Linked DNA regions of Lytechinus pictus. The protein of the gene in region 1 interacts with the protein of each later gene in a pairwise test. Links are inferred from orthologs where the notes say so. Each region holds a gene or a part of one and is shown in the gene's direction. Other genes may lie near its edges.

Region 1 (6,582 bases):
TCGCCATCGCATCTATTGTTCTTTTAGATGCCCATCTTAATCATTGTTACCAAAAATGCTTAAATTTCAAGCTTTCAGGTCAGAATATAAAGAAATATCAGCTCGCTCTCGGCCGGCTCGCATTATCTGTGTAGTGAGATAAAAGTATCCTCCTCATGAGTTACTACAAACAGTCCTAACAGGTACCTTTTTCCTGTTTTCAGGTCAGTATACTAAAAGATTTTCAGCTCGCGCTTCGCGCTCGCATTATAATTTGTTGGTGGGATATGTGTCTCTTTCTCATGAGTCACATATATATATATATATTTATATATAGGCCTATGTGTGTGTGTGTGTGTCAGTGTTCGTGTGGGTGAGTTGTGTGATCGAGCTCCTTTGGAAAGTTCATGATTTTGCCCCCCAATCTGAAAAATGGATCGACGCCCCTGTTTCCTCATTCTGACCAGCATATGTCAAATGTTTTTATAAAATTAAGCGAAACTTTAAAATGTCATGCTGACTTTTTTATTTTTACATTGGATTTTGATGAAATTTTCAGTGTAGTGCATGCTTGTATGATTTTTATCTTTCTATCTAACCCAATTTTTTGATGGGCTGGACTGGACTTGTCCTTTAAAGGACAAGTCCACCCCAACAAAAAGTTGATTTGAATAAAAAGAAAAAAATCCAACAAGCATAACACTGAAAATTTTATCAAAATCGGATGTGAAATAAAAAAGTTATATTTTTAAGTTCAAGTTGGTCTTTAGTGTCAAATCTGTAAAAAATGAAATATTGTATAATTCAAACAATAAAACACGAAAGAAATAGTCAGTGATGGACATCATCGACCGACTCATTTGCATGTCACTAGGTTATGCATATCACTATTTGGGAAAAATAAGCAAAACTTTAAAATGCCATAACTTATTTTACATCCGATTTTGATGAAATTTTCAGCGTTATGCTATAGATTGATCTTTCTTTATTCAAATCAATAGGCTTAGTTTGATTAATTTATAGGCCTACACCGGCATCACTTTTGTAGAGAATGAGTGCTCAGTTACCGAAGGCCGGCTTGAGATCGAGCTTTATCTGAATTGTTGTTTTCTATAGTCTAATAAAATTCAAATAGTGTTCTAGTTCTATTTCATAGTTTCTGAGCAATTTTTATTAAACAAAAGTATACGTACGTGAAGCACTGCGTTGTCTTAATGTTCTTCTTCTCAATTATTTTAATTCTTCTAATTGAATTTTGCATGCGGTCACGTACGGCAGGTCGAGTCCCGTTCCGATTGTATATACAGGCCTAGTATAGATAACCTTTTCTTTCAATTAGTATAGATAACTCATATTAGTGAACACACATATTCTTACAATTTTTAAAGTAATTCTCAGACACTGCATGCATGCATGGATTATATCCACGGACTCCAAAATATAGTTAACATAATTGGCAGGCTCATCCATCACTCGATTTCTCAATAATTTCTATATGGAATTAGATAATTTTTTCTTGATCAGATATGTTTTCTGCCGAATATCAGAGAAGAATAATTGCTTTCAAAGTGGCAAGATAATATAATTAAAGTTTATATTATTTTACTCAGGATCATTTAGGGCTACGCCTATAGTATGATTCGGCAAATATAAGTGACAAGTTCTGTCGCATGGGTGATGTCATTTTGATTCAGAAAAGCAAGCATTTGAGTTTAAAATGGCAAGTTAAGCTTTAATCAGAATAATAGGCTTTCTTAGAAGAGGATAAAACCTCCACGAATTTAGTGTACACGATAATTGCTAGTTGCCTTATATATATTTATTGGCACATTAAAACAGGTGCCTAATCGAGATTCCATTGATCTAATATTAAAAGTAAACAGTCATATTTTCTTCCCCATTTATTTCAAACTTTCACCATTCTATAGTTTCGCCTTCTTTATTTAAAGTTACCATTTAATGATGTATTCAACGCCAACCAAAAGATCAATAAAACGCGACAAATCAAACAAGCATTATAAAACTTCATACGGCTTCGGGGGATAAATATTGTTCATCATCTGGCGTGGTGAATATAATTAGCGCCAATATATTTTAGCACGGGCCTGTAGTAGTGCGGCAATTTCTACACACTCGTACTCGGATCGGAAGTGTAGCACATACAGACATTGAGCGTGTTACACCCGGTCCTGAATGTTGCATGCTGAAAACAACCGCTGAAAACTGGTCTAAAACTCGGGGAAAACACTCAATCATGGACGAAGATGATAGAAAACCAGGTAGGCATTAGTAAGAGTGATGTAAAAAGCATGGAATCTTTTCATTTTAATTTCCAAATACGATAGACGAAATACAAACATGACGGCCATGGCCATGCCAGCCAGTCAGTTTGCGTCGCGTTCATCATGTGTCATTGTGCAGTTGTGTGTGTGTGCTTTGTGGTGCGCTAGTTAGTGCTTGTGTGGGTTGGGGGTGTGTGTGTGTGTAAAGAACCCCTGTGTAAATAGGGCCCTGAGTTCTGGCTTCCAGTTCCACAGCCAGGCACAACTCCTTGTAAAGTTTTTTTGCCAAAAGAACATGATAAAATGGGGCATTATCGTGAAATTGGGAACCAGTTCCTAATTTCCAAAGGACACTTTTTCACGACAAGACATGACCTACCTACCTTTTCGAGCTTGTTCACTGTTTCATTGCAGCTGGCGCGCTGATCACTGAACTAAAAAAACGTGGAATGCGTGTCCCTATTCCCAACGTACACAAAGCCATGCGGCAACGAAGAGCATCGGGCTTCACGCTCGACTGAGCGCGCCGCCATTTTGCTAGGTCAATACTGGCTGGTCGACAAATGCTGCGTGTATATAGGCAGATGGGAGAAAGGAACGCAAAGAAAGTGTTCCTTGTGCTGTTTAAAGTTTTAGTTTGCTTTGTTACATCATGAACTATATGTTATTGAATACTTTCATAACTGAAAATGTTGATTTAGTCACATTTTTTTATTAAAGGGGAGTAAACATACAGACATGAAATCATAAAAAACTCGACCTTTTTCACGCGCACGCTGTGACAAGGAAAGGCCCCACAACAAATATGCTTTCTGAGTAGGCCTATACTAGCTGGTTGCATCAAAAAAATCTTTTAACGATTAGAAATCATGTCCCTTTCTCTAGCTTTTTTTTTAAACCTCCCTTCTCATTCAACTATTAATCTCATCTCATTTTCTCTGATTTTCCTCTTTTTTCCATCTCTCTTATCCTCTCCATCCCCTTCTATTTCTTCCATTTCTACTTTCATGCCCCTCTCTCTCTTATTTCTCCCCTTTATATCATCTCGATCTCCCTCTTTATTATTTTCCTTTCTCTTTGGCTTCTTTCTCTCTGATTCTCCTCTTCTTTCTCATCTCTCTCTTTTACATTCCCACTCTCTCTTCCCCTAATTATATTTTTCTTTTATTTCCCCCATCTCCCTTATATCGAGCCCTCTTTTATCTCCCTCTCGTCTCGCCTTTCTCTCCTCACCTCTTTCTCATTCCTCGATTTCCCCCTCTCTCTCCCTCTCTCTCCCTCTCTCTCTCTCTCTTTCTCTTTGATCTTCCTCTTCTTTCCATCTCTTCTCGTTGATCGTCTGTTTCTTTTTCTCTCTCTCCATCTTTACCATTTTTCCTTTCTCATTTCAACTTTCTCTATATAAATTTTGAGTAAATATTCCCACAAACACACCAAATATCATTATCATTTCTGTTAGATGATTGGATTGCTTTTGTTTGCTTGAAGTTTGAACTTTTTCCTCTTTCCTTTTTATCCTTCATCCTTCTATCCTTGCTTTTTTTTGTTCCATCTACATCTTTTAATATTTCATACCTTTCTTTCCTGATTCTTTCTGTGTTTTAATTTTCTTTCTTTCCTTCTTTCTCCGTATCTGCCATTTTTATTTCCGTCATTCTTTTTTTCCTTATACTTTTATTTACTCCCTTCCTCACCTTTTTCTTTTCGTTTTTCTCTCCTTCCATTATTTTTTTCATTCTATCCTATCTCCAATCTTTCCTCCCTCTCTTTCATTCTTTCTTTCATTCTCTATTTTATTTTTCCTTCTTCTTCTTTCCCCTTATTCTTTCTTTCTTTCTTTCTTTCCCTCCCTCCCTCCCTTCCTTCATTTCCCCTTCCCGTTTTCTTCTTTCTTTGTTTCCTCCTCCTTAATTTTTCTTACTTTTCTTACCTTTATTTTGTCTTTCACACATCTTCCCTTTCTTTCTATATTGGGCGAATTCAAAGAATGACGGAAACCCTTTTTTCTCTTTTATTCTTTCTTTCATCGTCCTTTTGATTATTCTAACTTTCTTTCATTTTCCCCTTCATTTGTTCTTTCTTCTTTATCATTTCTTTTCTTTCGTCTTTTCTTTCTCTCCTTCATTCTTTCGTTCTCCCTCCCTTCCAATTATTTTTATTTTTTTCACAAGTATAACATCGTGTAGCCTTCTTTGATGATCTTTTTTTATCGATTGTCCCGTATTTCATTTTGTGAAATCTGGTCACCCTGATTTAGACCCTTTTTTTAACTACATGAATTACCAGGTCCCGGTACATTGTGCATATAGAAATATGTTTGTACATGATTGGCTTAATGACATTAAAATACACTTTGCCACACTATTAATTTTATATTTATAGAGAAAACATATTGCATCTTGCACATAATATTATTTTCAATTGCCTTCTACGGAACGTTCTCGAACAATTGACCTAGCAAAATGGCGGCGGTCACGTGACTTATCGATTTCGCCGGCGCTGTTTTGCTTGAGTGAACACGACTTCCACGTATTTTTAGTTCAGTGGCGCTGATTCTAGATAAAGTAATCCTTCAAAGAGCTTAGATCAGAAAGATTGATTTCGTCGCAGTCTTTTCTCTACTCGCTAAAATGGGAACCAGCGTGGAAAACTCCCCATAGAGTTGTACACACTGGTTCCCATTTTAGCGAGTAGAGTAAACTAGTTTACTCTACTCGCTGAAATGGGAACCAGCGTGTACAACTTTATTGAGAATTTTCCATATGATAGAGTTGTACGCGCTGGTTCCCATTTCAGCGAGTAGATAAAGACAGATTACTAGTGATATTTATTTTGTTAGTGATGATTCTCTGACGAAATAAAGCTGATTAATAAACTGTCTTTATCTACTCGTGAAAATGGGAACCATTATTTATAATTCAGGAGAATTTTCTTAGATGGTTCCCATTTTGAAGAGTAGATATAGAGAGAGAGAATGCCAATGAGATTTATTTCGTCAGTGATGATTCTGACGAAATAAATCTAAATCTAACAAATTGTCTTTATCTACTCGTGAAAATGGGAACCAACATGTATAATTCATGAGAATTTTCTTAGATGGTTCCCATTTTGGCGATTAGATTTAATAAACTACTTTACTCTACTCGCCAAAATGGGAACCAGTGCGTACAACTCTATGGAAAACTCCCCATAGAGTTGTACACATGGTTCCCATTTTAGCGAGTAGAGTAAACTAGTTTACTCTACTCGCTGAAATGGGAACCAGCGCGTACAACTCTATGGAAAACTCCACATAGAGTTGTACACGCAGGTTCCCATTTCAGCGAGTAGAGTAAACTAGTTTAATCTACTCGCCAAAATAGGAACCAGCGTGGAAAATTCTCAATAGAGTTGTACACGCTGGTTCCCATTTCAGCGAGTAGATAAAGACAGATTACTAGTTATATTTATTTCGTTAGTGATGATTCTTTGACGAAATAAATCTGATTAATAAACTGTCTTTATCTACTCGTGAAAATGGGAACCAGCATTTATAATTCAGGAGAATTTTCTTAGATGGTTCCCATTTTGAAGAGTAGATATAGAGAGAGATTGCCAATGAGATTTATTTTGTCAGTGATGACTCTGACAAAATAAATTTCACTAGTAAACTGTCTTTATCTACTCGTGAAAATGGGAACCAGCTATGCTGGTTCCCATTTTCACGAGTAGATAATACAGTTTACTAAAGTGATTCATCCCCAGATATATCTTGTTTGTGATTTATTTAGTGAATCGATTTTGTAATATAAGTTTTTGTCAACATTGTGAAAGTGGCAGAGTGGTCTTGAAGAGCAGGGAAATGCGGGGTAGATGGATAATTAAAAAAATTATAATTCCGCGGAATCGTCGATGTCATCTGAAAACTTGTCCACCCGTGGCAAACTGAGCCCGTTAAACATCGCATGAGGAAAGAGGTTACCAGTTGTGTGAAGAGCTTCGCATCGTAAACAAAGCCTCTCGCATCAATTCTTTTCAAAATCGCCAAAGCGAAGATTCTTTACATATCGTGGTGAAAGGAGGTACAAGTTCAATTTGGCTACCAGTTCCCAAAAGCACGGAATGGCCTAAAATGGTATCCACAAAGAAAAATGACTTGAAATTTTACCAAGATTTTGTTACATGTGCTGGTCAGAAAATGGTGCTAAATTAAATACAGTTTCACACCGGCCGACTGTCTACGAGCAATTTTCCCACCAGAAATTGTTCACAAATGAAAATGTCAGACATTAATAGGTCATAACAATTCCCTCAATCACATTTCAAGGTCAATATGCCACCG
Region 2 (6,582 bases), on another chromosome or scaffold:
CAAAATTCATAAATTTATCATTATTTCTACTTTTACTGATTAAACTTAATTAATTTTGCCTTGTTTATGATTAGAATTAAGTCTAGAACGATTTCCATCGAAAATACAATAAAAAACAAAATGTAAAAAAACAAAGAAATACATGAATTAAAAAATAAAAATAAAATACATAAGAAATCGGTCTTGGTACCAGATTTTTTTTCATTTACAATTGTTAGGAATGCTATAAAGAATATTTTCACCCAAAAAATAGCATTCTAGGAGCTTTATTTAGTGAATCAGAGCAAAAAGTATGATTTCATGAATAAATTAGCATAAATAATTAATTCATATAAAATAAAAAAATATGAATTCAGTGAAATTTACCAATGCAACTACGTAGATTACGTCATTCTCTACCATCATGCAAATTTTCGTTGTGATCGTGCAATCCACGGCAGAGATCTTATAGGGGGGGGGGCAATAATACCCCCCCCCCCCCCCCGGGAATGACAAGAATCAAAATACCCCGGTAGATTTAGGATTTAAAAAATTGTCAGTACGGTATATCATCGAGAATCTACATTACATGTAGATCTGGTACAGTTACATAAACTGAACTTTGTGAAATCTTGAAATCTACACTGAAAAATGTTCAAACTGAAGATCACCAACACAGATAAGAAGAGCACGTGGGACAGTTATTATTGCTCTGATTAATGTCGGCCCGACGCTTGCCTTGGCTCGAGTTGACCCGAATCCTGTGCTTTTTTTGCTTATTTCGCAGCAATTACACAATTTCTTCCAGAATCCTTTGGCACATACGGTATATTATTTATAAATATAGACAGACACTTTGGTGGTCATTTCATTGGATTCTGTACGAACTCATTTTGATATCGTTACCACAACTGGCATTTACCTTAAGTTAAAGTGTGCACTGTGTCTGTGCAGACTTGGGCCCTGAGCCCACCAGCGCAGTCTGTCCTATTCAGCATGCCGGCGCTCGGGGCAGCCACCCCGGCCGGGCAGTGTCAGTGCACGAAATCTAAAGCCAAAGGCAAGCCGCGCTCCGAAAAGAAAATATTAGAAGATGGTTATCTAACTTACTGTTTGGTCTCCTGCGAATGCCTTCGAGTCGTTATCCAAATCTGAACCGTGTTCTTAAAGTAGTAGAACTATTATTAACGGCCATCTTCGTCGCACTTAATTCTCGATCCAAAATTAGGCTGCAACATTTAACGGCGAAAAACGGGCGCATTCCTTTTTCAAATTAAATGGTTGCGACTACAGCGCCAGTTGCATATGTTGCATGCAGTGCAGCGCGCATGCGCAGGCTCGACGCCCGACGGCGAATTAATTCTGCGGATCATGAATTATTTATAGGGGGTGTGCCCGGGGGGCGTGCATGGGGGGGGGGGGTGAGCTAACTAGATAGGGGGTTTGCATGACACCGGGGCATGACACCACTTGCCAAAAAAAAAGTTTTAAAATAGATACAAACTTCTTTGACATATAAAGCTTCCTCTTAATTGTTTGGTTTGGTTGGCAACCAGTTAAGAAATGATTATTTTTGCCACTGCTTTTGAAATTTTTTTTCTTTGAAGAATTATATACTTAACCTAAAATAAAAAAAAATCTGTACTATTTTCTTTTAGTTTTACTTTTCCTTTTATAAGTAGAAATAGCCTTGCTAACATGGCAAGGTTGAAAAAATGGCAAAATAGTATGTGGCTTTGAAATTAAACTTGTAAATTTCCTCGTCGTTGATTGGTAAAATTTGATGTCATAATCACGTCGTAATGTGGTCATATGAAAACGCAAATTTCTTTGTCGTTGTTTGGTAAATAAATGATGTCATAATCACGTCATAATGTGGTCATATAAAAATGCAAATTCATTTGTTGCAGATTGGTCGATAAATGACGTCGTAATCACGTAATAATCTGGTCATATAAGAAAGCAAATTTACTTGTCGTAAATTGGTCAGTAAATGACGTCGTAATCACGTCATAATCTGGTCATATAAGCGAGCAAATTTACTTGTCTTAAATTGGTCAGTAATTAAATGACGTCGAAATCACGTCATAATCTGGTCAAATAAAAATGCAAATGAAAGTTGCCATTCTAAGTCGTCAAAATGACGTCGTAAGAACGTCATAAATACGACGACATGACGAGTATTACCACTTTACGATCAGTTAATGACGTCATTACGACCGTGTCTGCTATCAGGGATGATGTAAGTGAATTCATTGGATTAGATAAATTTGACTGTAGAGGATATCGAATTAGTGACGTATTCAGAGTATAAGGAGATTGAAAAATGGAAATTATACAATGGGTAAATAATTAGAATAAAGTTTTATATACAGAGAGTTTTATATACCTATTTCGTTTACTGAAACATTATAGATAGTCGCTGATTATTCGAATTCAGTAACAATAAAAAAATCACATTTCAACGCATACGCGTTGGAAAGAGAAGAGTAAAGGTAGAAAGAACGGGGACCTATAATGGTTATATTGTATTTTTTTCCTCTCAAAATGAAATTGGTTCATGGGTAGCGTGAATGACCAAACAATTTTGAATGGCCTGATAATGGCACTTGTATAGTTATGAAAAGCGAAAGCCTAGCCTCATAAAAAAATGCAATTTTAAATGTAAAAATATTATTTTGTGATAGATTTTGATAATTTCACCTACTATAGTCTCGTTCGTTTGGGCCCTTCGGGTCGTGAACATTTTAGGGGTCCTTGCAGGCCCTTCACTTTTTTTTTTTTTTTTAACAATACTTAAAGTTAAAAGATAGATTGAAACTTCAACGTACGGTTTCGATGCAGATAAAACTTATAGGGCGAGCCCTTTTTCACATAAGTAAGACCCTCAAAGAATAACAACATGCAGTGAAAGGGGGGAAATGGAGAGAAAAAAAGAAAAAGAAGACGGGAAGAAAAAAAAGATGAAGATCGAAGAAAAAAAAGATGAAGATCGAAGAAATTAGGGGGTCGAAAAGGAAATAAAAGTACAGAAAGGGATAGGGAAACGAGGTGAGACAACAAACAATGGAGAAGAATAAGTAGTCAAAAATTAATAAAAAGAAAAGCAGTGAGAAAAAGAAGAAAATATCAGCAGTTTAGCGCCAAAATAAATTTTACCTTCCAGCTAGAGACAACATATATGATTGGAATACATCTCTTCCCTTACGTTTGGCATGTCATATCTAAAGTCGTGAGATTTCTTTCATCTGATTATGTTTTTTAAATGGCAAAATATTAAATTCATAATACTTCAGTGAAAGAAAAAAAACTAATATTATATGACTTATAAATATTTTTTCATTTTTTTTACAATTTTTTTTATTGATACACTTTTTTAAAAGTATTTTATCACAGTGATAGATCGAGGTTGACATTGCTCGCTTGCCAAAATGGCTGAATATCTTGCATCCATTTTTGGCACCGAAAAGGACAAGTAAGTATCAAGTTTAACCGCTTTCTTGGGTTCTAATGGTTTAAGTGAGTGGTTGATATGTGAAGAGTGGTTTTTGTCATTATTTATATGTTTTTTTTTCAAAAGATTCAGTGTGACCTGAGCAATCTTGGTGAATAATTTCACGCAAAGCCAAAGGCAAAGCCAAAGCAAAGCCGTCATTTTTTTTTTTGCGTCAATCGACGACGCGGGGCCGCGCACGGTGCCTCGTGTGTGAGCCGAAGGCCAGCGCCAGGCCAGCTTCATGCAGCTGTAGTATGCCGCAGAACAACATAGACCATGGCATTGCGGTGCTAGTGCTAATGCAGTTTCGCACCGGCCGATTACCAGCCTACCTTATCTTTATCACCAATACTTGACTGTGACTGCTTGATCATGATCATGTTGATCCCAAATGTCAATTGTCATGACAAGTCTCTCTCTCTCTCTTAGGCTTAGCTGATCCCTCCACTATTTGGAGATTCCTAGGGTCCAAGGTAAACAGATATGTTCCATATACGCTGTCATTCTGGTTTAGGAGGTTTGAACCATGTCAGTACGGAATACATCAATTTTGTGGAGGAAAAAGAGAGATAATAGGAGTAAACTATTGTGTAGTTCCTTGGGCAAACAAGAGTGAAATGGTATAAGGGTGGCCTGAGTAAAGTCCTGTGGGTTGGCATTGACATATAGATCGACACATGTTGGGAAGTCCACAAGGCAGTCCTTGACTTTGCCAATAAACACTTGACGGAGATGGTCTAGCTTGGGACACTGCCCAGTAAAATGTTCCACAGTCTCGTCGGTAGATTTGCATAGAGGGCAAGTGCGGCTGGTTGATTTCTTCAGCGTGAAGAGACGACACTGTGTTAAGTAGGTGGCTGTAAGGAGTTGAGCTCTCACCACAAATGCTCTTCGTAAGACAGGAGAGAGTACACTTTTCGGGTACAGGAGTTTGGCAGAAGGAGGTATACAGTCTTGCCAGTACTTAAGAGATGGCTTGGAAAGGATTCCTTGACATGTGTTGTGTTTGGTCAGCAGGTTCACTTTGTAATTGACCAATCTCTTCCAAGATGAGTATACAGGAGGATTCGATAGAAGGCTGTGAAGATCAGGAAGATCATACTTCTTTGTTATCTCCTGCAGGAGCCGTATTGTTGGAGCGCCTAAGTTGAGGGCTTCTAAGAATGTTCTAAACTCAAAGCGTGTGTGATCGAGGTTGACGAGTTGGCCTAGAAGCAGCAGTTTCCTGAGATCTATCTGTGATGAGACTGGAAGGAGGTCAGTGAGGATACTGGTCTCTCACACTCACTTCTCAGTCACAATTCGAGGTCAATTTACCCACCTCTTTTCCAAATATCGCGATCGGGAACTGCTGAGTGCTGTATTTCATTTTCAGCTTTGATGATTGATCTCAATGTCATTGTTCGAATCCTCAGACATCACTTCGCGGATCGCTTGGATTGGCCGTGCGCCGTAATGTTGATATGGACTGAAGTTAGCAACCAAATTATGCGAACATGTGGCGAACAAACTGCCAGCATGCTGCAAGCGAATCTTTTGATCGCATAACTTCAGTCCATGGATATCAACATTACGGCGCACGGCGAATCTAAGCAATCCGTGAAGTGATGTCTGAGGATTCGAACAACGACCTCGAGATCAAAGCTGAAATACAGCCGTTCCCGATCGCGATATTTGGAAAAGAGGTGGGTATATTGACCTCGAAATGTGACTGAGAGACTTGTCATGACATTTGGGAACAAGTATTGGTGATGAGGTATGCTGGTTATCGGCCGGTGCGAAACTGCATTAGCGCCGGCATTGCCATTGTCTGATTGTACTAGTATACCTCGCTCGAGCGATGTTCGTGCAGGTTCCACTTCACTACCGCTACACTACGCTCCACCTACCCGAACATCGAGACGGTGAACCAGTTCGGATATACCGAGTCACAAAGGACGGTCGGATGGAAATCATGTTTATCGTAAGAATTAAAGAAAAGAAATATAATGAGAAAGATGAATAACTTAATATCTTACTCTACACCCGTATTTCACTCCGCTTCCATCCGGTTATCCTCAAAATTGGTGATTTTGGGCCAGTATCTTTTTCCTCACACGTATTATTCACGACCGATTAAAAAAAATCGCATGCAATCGCGATCGGTCGCAGGTCAAACCGATCGCGATCGATCGCATGCGATGTTTTGAAATCGGCTATGAATAATACGTGTGAGGAAAAAGATACTGGCCCAAAATCACCAATTTTGAGGATAACTGGAGGATGGAAGCAGAGTGAAATATGGGTGTAGAGTAAGGTATTAAGTTATTCATCTTTCTCGTTATATTTTTTTTCTTTAATTTTTACGATAAACATGATTTCCATCCCACCTTTGTGACTCGGTATATCCGAACTGGTTCACCGTCTCGATGTTCGGGTAGGTGGAGCGTAGTGTAGCGGTAGTGAAGTGGAGTGGAGCCTGCACGAACATCGCTCGAGGTAATTGTAGTAGAGCTGAAGGCCTGGGCAAGCATTGCAGTGAATCTGTGTGATGTTTGTGTGTGTGTGACTGTGTACACTGTACGTAAGTGCTGTGCGAGCATGGCTAGCGCGATAAATCATAAAATATGACGATCAACAGACGTCAGACAACGACAAATGGTAGATCTTGCGCTTTTTTTAATTTCAAAATTCCAGTCCAGAAAGGAAAGCCAATGTTACTGTTAGTACACAGTCCCAATCACCAATGTCCAACTCCAGAAACCATAAGAAAATCAAACTTTTGCTGTATTAAATTTAAAAAATGCTGATATGCACCATTTAAAAAAATTTTCCAGTGAGTCAATGGGCTCTGGGCCGCCGTGGTTTGCTCACCTCAGCCTCGCGATCGCTTCGGCCTATCAAAACCAAAGGAAACGCTGCATGGTTTCTGGCTGAGCGACAGCAGGTCAGCCGAAAAAATTCTTGAAAGTTGTGTTTACTATACTACTGGCTTTATGTGTACTAAAACCAACATGGTGGCGTAACCTTCGGCAAATTTTCCCCCGTGACAGCAATAGAATGACAAGATTTTAGAAGTGTCCTTATTCTCAGGTACATGCATGAGATGATGAAGAAAGAACTGTTGT

What was found.
Region 2: the proteins of splicing factor U2AF 50 kDa subunit-like (region 1) and splicing factor U2AF 35 kDa subunit-like interact in binary tests that used the Drosophila melanogaster proteins (3 or more experiments, as listed by UniProt). The link is inferred for Lytechinus pictus from reciprocal best matches to the Drosophila melanogaster genes U2af50 and U2af38.

Annotation. Positions count from the first base shown.
Region 1 is NC_087254.1:7,870,183-7,876,764, reverse strand, and holds the start of splicing factor U2AF 50 kDa subunit-like, read left to right. Parts: upstream 1-2,121; 5' UTR 2,122-2,179; coding exon 2,180-2,258; intron 2,259-6,582. UniProt on the Drosophila melanogaster protein: Necessary for the splicing of pre-mRNA. Binds to the polypyrimidine tract of introns early during spliceosome assembly.
Region 2 is NC_087252.1:7,858,663-7,865,244, forward strand, and holds the start of splicing factor U2AF 35 kDa subunit-like, read left to right. Parts: upstream 1-3,153; 5' UTR 3,154-3,410; coding exon 3,411-3,454; intron 3,455-6,582. UniProt on the Drosophila melanogaster protein: Necessary for the splicing of pre-mRNA. Binds to the polypyrimidine tract of introns early during spliceosome assembly.